Drosophila melanogaster: one gene and its partner. The protein of the gene in region 2 interacts with the protein of the main gene of each other region in a pairwise test. Each region holds a gene or a part of one and is shown on either strand. Other genes may lie near its edges.

What was found.
Region 1: the proteins of LS2 (region 2) and CG6418 interact in a two-hybrid assay, tested with the Drosophila melanogaster proteins (one large-scale study listed by BioGRID).

Annotation. Positions count from the first base shown.
Region 1 is NT_037436.4:10,875,652-10,881,215, forward strand, and holds CG6418 (uncharacterized protein), read right to left. Parts: upstream 3,387-5,564; 5' UTR 3,295-3,386; coding exon 919-3,294; 3' UTR 664-918; downstream 1-663. Other genes in the region: Blos4 (biogenesis of lysosome-related organelles complex 1, subunit 4), read left to right, coding at 3,519-3,662, 3,717-4,082; CG6409 (uncharacterized protein), read right to left, coding at 5,141-5,564.
Region 2 is NT_033778.4:23,209,200-23,213,597, forward strand, and holds LS2 (large subunit 2), read right to left. Parts: upstream 2,341-4,398; 5' UTR 2,300-2,340; coding exon 950-2,299; 3' UTR 931-949; downstream 1-930.

The DNA.
Region 1 (5,564 bases), on a different chromosome or scaffold from region 2:
AATTTTCCCCCGTTTTCTTTTTGGATTTTCTCCTGATTTTCCGATTTGTTTCGTACGATGTGGTTAACATGGACCAATTTTTATATACAAATATATATATATATACATATATATATGTATAACACCCACACACCGACGAGTCTTTGAATAGAGTATATACGCGAACTATATATAACGGAATATATATATATATTCATGTACGTATCTGATATGATATTCAAATATAGCGAAATTTTTAAGCTTTGCCCCGGCTTATTCCCCGTTCAGCGCTTAACAAAACGAAACAAATCGAAAAAAAAATCGAATAAATCGAAAAAGTCGAAAATTTACGCGAAATCGCCTCGATGTGGTAGTTAAATGAATCTCAAATCTCTTCTCAATGTTATCAAAAACACACGTAATTTAATTATAATATAAACACGTATATCCAAAAGCGAAAAAGAAACAAAATTCGTAGTGGTTTCATTGTAAAACAATATTTCATAATGATTAAACGAACAATTTAGCTTCAAGATTTCGATATTCCAGTTCGATTTCTTCTCTCGCTTAATGAAATGGAAAAATTAAAATTAAAATGACACGATTAACGATTAACAATATCGATAGGCAGTTGGGATGCGCAAATGTGATTTTATTCAAAATAAAATACACATAACCATGATTACAATTAATGAATATTTTTATTTGGATCTGTGGGATCGTTCGCTGGAACTGGCTGCGAAGGAAGAGAGTTGTACATACGAGTATTTAACTAACGTAATCTTTATGAATGAACATGGTATATATCTGATTATATATAATATGTTTAAATTTAGTTCATAAGTTGTAATTTTAAACGATGGAACAAAAGCAAATACACATTAAATAATATGAAGAGAAATAAACCAAATAGCAGCATCAGTTTATTGGGCTCGTCGTTCAATTCCAGCGACTCTTCTTGGCTCTTTTGGCATCCTGGTTGCTGCTGTTGTTGGCCGATGAGGCGGAAGCACCCTGTGTTGATGATGAGGGCGGTGCCATTGGCGCAGCGAAAACTCCCGACTCCGGCAGAGTTTTCTCCCAAGTGCGATCGCTGGACGCACGGAACTGATTGTTATACTGGGATCGGAATGCCTCCCTCATTGCTGTATAGCGATCTGTGGCTGGTCCCGAGCTCGAAAAGGCTTTGCTAGAGGGTCCGTCGGAAGGACTGTGGGCAGACACACTCGCAGTGGACTCCGAGCCACCAGCCGAACCATAGCCACCACCTCCATTTCCTTTCTCCCGATAGCCCAATCCTGTGTGGGTATTTGTTGGTCTCTTGCCTTTGCCCTGCTTGAAGCGTGAGCTGCGGAACCAGGAACTCTTCATGGCCAGCTCCATCAGATCGTCGGGCACCAGCTGATCGGCTCCCTCCAAGTTACGCACCAGATGTCCGGCGAACTCCTTGTCCTTATCGGTGACTAGAGTGTATGCATTACCCTTTTCACCGGCTCTGCCCGTTCTTCCAATTCTGTGCGTGTGGGTTTCAATGTCCCTGGCTGTGTCGTAGTTTACCACATTCCTAATATGGGGTATATCCAATCCTCTGGCTGCCACGTCGGTGGCCACTAGAATATCGCACTCTTTTCTCTTAAACTGAGTGATGACCTTGTTTCTGTCCGCTTGGTCCATATCGCCGTGGAGTAAAAGACAATTGTACTCCTTAATTAAAAGATTGTTAGACACCGTTTCAGCATCTACTTTTTTAGTCACAAAGATCAGGACACTTCCTTCGGAAAGGAACTTCACCAGATGGCACAGCAGCCAATTCCATTTCTGCAGGGGATTGGGGAAGACGTACACAGACTGTGTAATGTCCTGATTGGCCTCGTTCAGGTCTCCCTGCACTATTCTCACGGGATCGGAAAGCACATCTCTGGCCAGACGTTCAATTCGCTTCTTAAAGGTGGCCGAAAACATTAGGCATTGACGATCTGGACGCACGTGGTTGCAGATGGAGCGAACCTGGGGCTCAAAGCCCATGTGGAACATACGGTCGGCCTCGTCAAGCACTAGGAAAGTGACCCTCCTCAGATTGGTGGCCTTCATCTTGACCATATCTATCATACGTCCTGGCGTGGCCACAATAATTTCCGCTCCCTGTTCCAGAGCTTTACTTTGCTCCCATTTGGAGCCTCCGCCGTAGCAGCAGACCACGTTCAGGTTGTAGACCTTGCCAAACTTCTTGGCCTCGTTGTAGATCTGCAGGGAAAGCTCGCGTGTAGGTGCTAGGATAAGTCCTATGGGTCCGTCGCCTGGCTTCAGCTGTTTCTGATCCATCACATGCATTAGCATCGGCCAGATGAAAGCTGCTGTCTTACCGGAACCAGTTTTGGCTATGCCAATGATGTCTCTGCCGGACAGGGCGGTGGGCACTGCTTGTGCCTGGATGGGTGTGGGCTGTGTATACTCCGCTTTCCTCACGGCCTTGATGAGTTGCTCATCAAAGCCGAAATGGCCGAAGGACGTGACTGGTTTGGGTGGTGATGGACCAGTGACCTTTACGCCAAGTGTGCGCCTTAATTCCCGGACTTGCTCATCATCCAGGGCGGCTATGTCGTCATGCTGCGTGTAGAAGTTCTTCTCGAAGGGTTCGTACTCGATTTCGGAATGGTAGATGGGCGGCAGAGGATCAATGTCCTTTTTCTTCGGTGGGGCTATGGGATTGCCATCCTCATCGTATTCGATTTCCTGATCGGATCCCTCGTCGCGAAGTCCAGCATTGGGATTCTCCTTCATGTAGCGATAGTAGCTCTCCTCATCGTCCTCGTCATCGATGTCACCTCTCACCGCCTGAGTTGGCGGCTTAGGTGCTTGTTGACGCTTCTCCTTCTCCACCTGCTGGTTGATGCCCGCCATGAACTGCTCGAGGGGATCCTCATCCGAATCGGAATCCTCTTGCTTTTTGGCCGACGTTGGCGGAGCTCCCGGGGATCCTGGTGCCGGTATATAGGCTTGTTCTATCTCCTTTTCCCGGGGCTCATCGTCATCATCGAAATAGTCATCGTCCGTGTGGTGCTTCCTTTTGCCAACCAGATTGGTGGCATTGGTGTACTGGCTGATGGAGTCCAAGGTGGAGTAGCCGTGCTTGGACGTTGATGTAGTGCTCCCGGTGACACCGCCACGGCTTGCTCCTCCAAATCCTCCGCGGGAACCAGAATAGCCACGGGCATTCAGCATCGGGGGCGGCGGTACGGCGTTCATGTTGTTGCCGGAACTTGCTGGCTTGCGGTAGGGGAAGCCCCCACCGCCAATGCCTCGATATCCACTCATTGTGCTACAAATCCAAGCAAATGCTGCAAGCTAACAATTTCCAAAATCAATAGAAAACAGTATGACCAGAATGAGCAGCAGCGGGACAGCGGGCAAATGCTTTGGGGTCACACTTTAGCTGATAGGAGTTTTACCCTCCTCAATTATGGTCACACTGGTCGAAAGTGAAAACAATTGTTGCTTGTATTTACAAATATTCAGCTAATTAAACCAACGCCTGAAATATGCAATCGAATATTGAGAATGTATCACGGGACTATGCAAAGATACTGCAGAGCGCCGACCTGGAGAAGGAGATAAATCCACTGTGCACGAATATCGAGGATATGCTGGCCAGATTGGATGAATTTGAGACTTTGTTGGCTTCGGTTAGTTGTTTTCTTTAAAGTTAGTGTTTTCACTAATAGTTTATTGACTTTTAGGTGCGTGCGGAATCCAATGGCATGATGGCCAACAACGTCTGCTCTATACTAGGTTTCACAGACAGTTTCGAGCAACTGAAGGCCAGAATCGATGGTCTGGAGCAATGTGTGGGTGTAGTTAGTGCCAATTTGTCGGAAGTGGAAAGATCTGTGGATATAGCCGAGGAGGAGCTGCATGTCACAGACTACAGCCTCAAGGGACTTCTCCTGAAGCCGCTGAAGGCCAAGTTAAGTGCCAGCGATACCAGCACACTCAGCTCCCTGCCACGATCCAATCTCGTCGAGGAGGAATATCAGCCTGTGGAGATCTACAAATCCGACGATTACTTCGGAAAGTCGGAGGAGGAGAACTACGTAGCTAAATGACTAAACATATATGGAATAATTAGATGAAACCTAGTTTTACTAAGCTTAAAATAGAGATGTTACTAGAAGTTAGAGGATCTTTGCAGATGTAAAAACATAAAGGTAATTTTATTAACTTTCTAAAAGCAACTTCATTTGCATTTTGTTTTTAAATTAGGCATTTCTAATGCATTTTGAATATGCAATAACTATCAAATTAAGACAAAGACATCTAAATTCAGCTTCGTAATTACATTTAAGCACCTACTTGTTATAATTGTCATTATAATTATAGCGAAAAATTACAGATAGAATGGAAAAAACCGAGGCAAACAATACGTTGTTTATTGTTACATTAAGTCTGGCTGTTTATATTTATATTACTGATTACTTACATTAGAGTAGTGAATAAAATAGCAGTTAGCTACGTGGATGCCATAAATATTTAGTGAATAATTAGCGAAGAGGTGCTTACGTAAATATTCAATGTTTTTTTTTACGGGAAGCGCGAAGTTAAATTGCTCGAATTTATACGGGGAAATCCGTGGAGTCTCGCATTTAAATTGCTGCCTATAACGTGGAAAAATTCTAAAAAAAACTGCAATACAGCTTTACTATAATAACAATTCTCTGTGTACGCCTTTGTCTAGAACACAAATTAAATTTGTTACCAGGAAGCTACTTTAACGCATAAAATTTAGTGCGCTTGAAGGCGTTTAAAATCGGTACAAGGTTCTTAAATTTATTATTACCAACGTGTGTAGAAGTATTATTAACAAATATGAAGTACATTTAAAGCTTCATATATTTCCCTTGAAGTAATATTAAATTATATTACAATTGAATTAATTCTTGGAAGTTTTACCCATAATTAATGCCTGAAATGCAGTAGATACCACTTTTTACTTTGCCTATTATATTAACTGCCTTTTTACAGACAGCCATCCACATAAATATTTATTAAATAATTAACGCCCAGTCTTTTTATATAAGCATGTAAATATTTGTGTTTATTTTAGTTCGTTTCGCTGACTACAAATCTCGTGATGGTCCCATTAGCGACTCTTAACATAGGAAGCCTAGGCCTTAGCTTTCTCCTTGCTTTCCTCGGAACTGGAAGTGGACTTATCCGCGTGCTTGTTCTTCTCGAAGAGCTCGGCCACGGGAATGGGATGGGGGATGTGGAGATTGTGGATGGACGGAGTGGTGCTTTCCAGCTCCGATTTGGTGGTGGATGGGAGATCGGTGGTGGTGGTGGCTTTGGTTTGCGTGGGCACGGGAATATCGCGCTGGTGACGCTGTTCCGGCGCCTTTCCACCGGCCAGAGATTCGATGGCCTTGTGGAGCTCCTGGGATCGCTGGGGATTGTGCTGGAGCGACTCACGGGCCTTCACGCTGTCGGGTTTCTCCACAGTCTCGCGCTTTTCCTGCTTCTTGGGCAGCTCGGCGGTGTGGGCCACAGCGGGCAGGGCATGGGGCAGCGAAAGATCCTCCACCTGAGGA
Region 2 (4,398 bases):
TGAATGACAAAAGTCGAAGGCGTTGGATTAATTTGTGGCCACGGTCCACTCAAGTTCTCAAGTTCTTTCCCATCCTTCCTGGCACAATCTCCTCCAGTCCGATAAAGCGTTTAGCTGTGCTCGTCGTTGCCACTGATAAATCGCTCCGTTTGCAGATGGGCTTTCAACGCTCGTAGCACTGCACTGCGAGAAATTGTGTGCTACTCCTTGTATTTCACATGTATGCAGTGACTGGGCTACAACTTTGCCACCTGTAAAACTTCTTTCTTTCCGTGTGCTGACCATTTCATTACGCGTACGAGTATTGATGATCGGCTGTCGACCAAATGACCAAACTTTGAGATAAGAAAAGACCCCAACCCCAGGCTGAACGGATGATGCCCCAAGACCCACGAAACGTGATACCTGAGAAAATGCAACCGTTCGTCGGCGAGATAAGCCGCCGAAGAAGCTTCTCCATTGAAAAGGCATTAAGGCATTACCTGGGCTTCGTAATAAGCGGTCGGTAGGTGTGAATATGCCGAGAAATGTCGACGATAAAGCGTAAAGTTTAAAATTTTAATTAAGCAAGAGCTTTGGCCTGACTCTTCCAGAGGAACTGGAAATAAAAGGTGAGCGGAGAAGCTGCTGCAGGAGCTGTCGGCTTTCGAGCAGCTTTAAGGATTGCAGCTTAAGTCGGTCTGCCTAATTGAATTTCTGCCATCGTATTTGGGGGGCGAGGAGGCGTGTCCTCACATTTCGATCCCAGATAACTTAAAGCGTTAAGCAGTTGATATCACAACAACGAGAGTGGAGAACTGGATATTAACTTCCTTATCGCTCGTGGCCTTGGCCACATCAGCTCACCGAGTCATCATCAGGTGTCATGATGGACTGACTATTAAGTGTAGATGTTCCTAGATGGTTGAGCATATTGAAATTTCAGTTAATATGGTTTATTATTTCGACTTTATTGTAGATCATCCGCCAGGTACTTTTCGGGATCGTAATACGAGGTCATCACTATGCGCCCGCTGAACTTGCGACCACTCAACGCCTTAAGGGCCTTCTGCGAATCCTCCACGGATTCGAACTGGACGAAGACCTTGCCACAGCCCCGCTTCGGAAATTGACCGATGGGACGCGGAATCTTGATGCTGCGAACCTCGCCGAACTTGGCGCACTCCTGCTTGATGTCCGTGCGAATGTCCTCGAACTCCTCGTCGTCCAGCAGCTCCTCCGGCCGCACCATGTTCAGCAGGCAGAGAGTTTCGGTAGGTGAGCCAGGATCTTGTAGTGTGGATATGCCCGGTACCTGAAGAACGGTTGGTAAGTGGCCGGGGAATGCGTTCTTTCCGCCTGGAATAGATCTCTGGACCACCAGCCTGCGATCCCCCAGCAGCATGCCGTGCAATCCAGCTATGGCGTGATCGGTAACCGAGGGATCGCAGTACTCAAAGAAGGCGAAACCCTTGTTCAGGTTCGTGTTGGTATCCATCACCAGATTCAGTCCTTTCAGTTCTCCAAACGACTGCAGCAGTTCCTTGACCTGATCCTGATTCAGGCAGGTGGGCAAGCCACCTACGTAGATCTTATTGGGGGAATCGGGGACAATAGTGGTCACAGGAAGGGTAACAGCCGGTTGTTGGGCTACATTGATGGCAGGGACCCTGAATGACCTGTAGCTCTCCATTGCAGAGACTGAAATCGAGGGCACTGGCTGATAGTCGTGTGGCCGTCTTATCTTCAAGGTTTGTCCACGGAAGACCATCCCATCGAAATTCAAGGCCTGGCTGGCCTCGTCAATGGATCGGAATTCCAGAAAGGCAAAGTTCTTCTCCAGATTCGTTTGGCAGGTCAGCACAGCATTGCCATCCATGTAGTGCGAGCTTTTTGCTTCAAATCCCAGAGCCATGATCTGATGATTGAAGAACTGCATCATCTCCTCATCCGTAACTCCGAATGGAATATTACCCACATACAGGCGGCGAGCTTGTCGAGTGATCATCGAAATCGCGGCGGACTCGCCCCCGTGTACGCCATCGGAAAGAATCCTCGAGGCAATCTGGCCGCTGGCCAGCATGGCCTTGTACTGTTGCGGAGTCAGGTGGTTATAACCCTCTGGTGGAATGTCCCAGGAGGAGGGAGGCCGACTGAAACGTCGCTGCAATCGCGTCCTCTCTGTGTAAATGGTATCCGAACGGGTGGGCCGGGATCGAGTAATGGATTGCGAACGGAAAGGCGAACGCGAACGTGAACGTGAACGTGAACGCGAACGCAGAGCATTCCAAGAACGATTCATGGGCCGAAAACGTCTCATACTTTTCAGCTAAAATCACCGAACACCAGGCCTTGTTGGTGAACTAAAATGAAATCACAATAAAAGCTACTCTGATTAAAAAGTTCAGTGTGACAACTGAAGGAATCATCGATAACGAGCAATGTGACCGCACTTAATCGACATAATGTAACGTAAATTTAATTTCTTGTCTAAGTCTAGCAAATTAAAAAATTCTCTGCAATCCGGCAAATTTGTTCATTCAGCATTCACATCTATCATTTAATGTATTCGATGCCAATGGCGGGGAGCTTGAATCAAAAAAAAAAAAAAAAACAATTAAGTCGTTTATCATACATCATCCGGATAGTTTTCAGCTTTCATTGTGCCTCGTTATATCTTTCGACAGAAAAACGTATCTACATACGTATCTGCGGGTGCATTTCCAGCGAATAATCATAATCATCATAATTTTCGTTAATATCGCCAATCAATTATAATTAATTGGCAACGGCTCGCCCGCAGGCCGTATAAATAGAGAAGAAGCAATTTGTTCAGGCCATGCTTTTTGGGTTCGTTTTCGGAGCTGCGTGTGTCTCCATCGCGATGTGTGGTCCTCCGAGCCCAGCTTCCCGCAGGGGATGAGTCGGGGATACCATCCTCGCCACATTCCTCGGAAACGCGACAACGACTTCATTTGGAACTGAGGGGCGGCTCAATTAATTCAGAAAGGCGACACAATAAAACTGTCAACTCAAATCGGACAAAAGAGGGATTTCAAACTTTAGGGGAATACTATTCTATTCACCGTAAATATCCTGCTTGCATAACGATGCACAGAACGGAGTGTTTGAACAAGGTAAGAAATCAATTTGAATAAAATGCTTGACTTTTCCCTCAGTGCATTCCCTTCTACACGTCACCATTCCACACATAACCCCCTATAAAGAACTTTATCGAACCCAGAAACCAAGTGATAATTTATGTCCCGATCCTCGATCATCGACTACACCGCACCTCCTTTGTGGAGGCTCTCAGGTATCATTCCCCATCAGCTAGGATAATGGTCTACTGTTTAATGGCTATTTGATGGCCCGGCGATCGCGCACAGATAAAGATACAGAGATAGAGATACAGATACAATCCCAGTCATGATTCAAGGCCAATTTGACACTTGTGAGGAATTTGAGATGGCGGCGCGGGTGCATACTAAAATGCAATCTCTGTCCGGCATTAAGCCTAAATTAAATATATTTCATCCAGTGTCCAAAAACCAATTAATTCTTTGTCCAGCCGCTTGGGTTTGTTGCTGCTGCCGAGGTTCCAATGGAACCAGAACCTGTCCACAAGCCTGACAAACGCAATTAATTTGTCCATTTAAATTCAGGCAACGTCTCCCCGCCCGCCGATTTTCTGACATATCCCCACATTGATGTCCATCGATGATATGGCGACATGGAGCCCGGATGAGGATGACGAACGCCCCGACTTCACATTCCCTCTCTCTCTCCGTTTTTTCGATCACCCATTTAGATTTGGGCCTTTTATTTGAACAATAACGACGAAGGCCATAAATTAATTTTTTCCTTGGCACACAAACAACTGAATAAAAATTCATAACATATTGTGCCACGTCTGAGTTTTGGCCAAATGGAAATCAGTCAAGAGGCCAAAACCAAACCCACACCAATTTTAAAGTCGTTCTGGGCAAAAGAGAATTTTTGGTTGCGTTGCGTGGGAATATCAGTTCAATAAAAGTGTTACTATTATATGTGTATATCATTATTTATAACTAATAATAATAACAGCCGCTACTTAAATTTAATTTCTTTTATAGTTAATAATATTATGCAGCTTTATCTAAATTGGATAAAATTTTGAAGGCTTAAAGATTTCTGATTTTGTCATTCTGAAATGATTTGGTTGAAATCTTGTGTCGCGAATTAAATTCCATAATAAATTAGATAACAAATCCGTTCATTTTAGCCAGGCTTATTCCGCGTTTGCTTTCCCATTCGTCATCATTTCCATTTGGATATTTCATTCAGAAAAATAAGAGCGAATTTGTGTTTTGTTAATTAAGCTCGCGTAAAAAAATTCTTGTTTGGGTAGTCGCCAGATGTCGAAGAGCCGTTTAAATT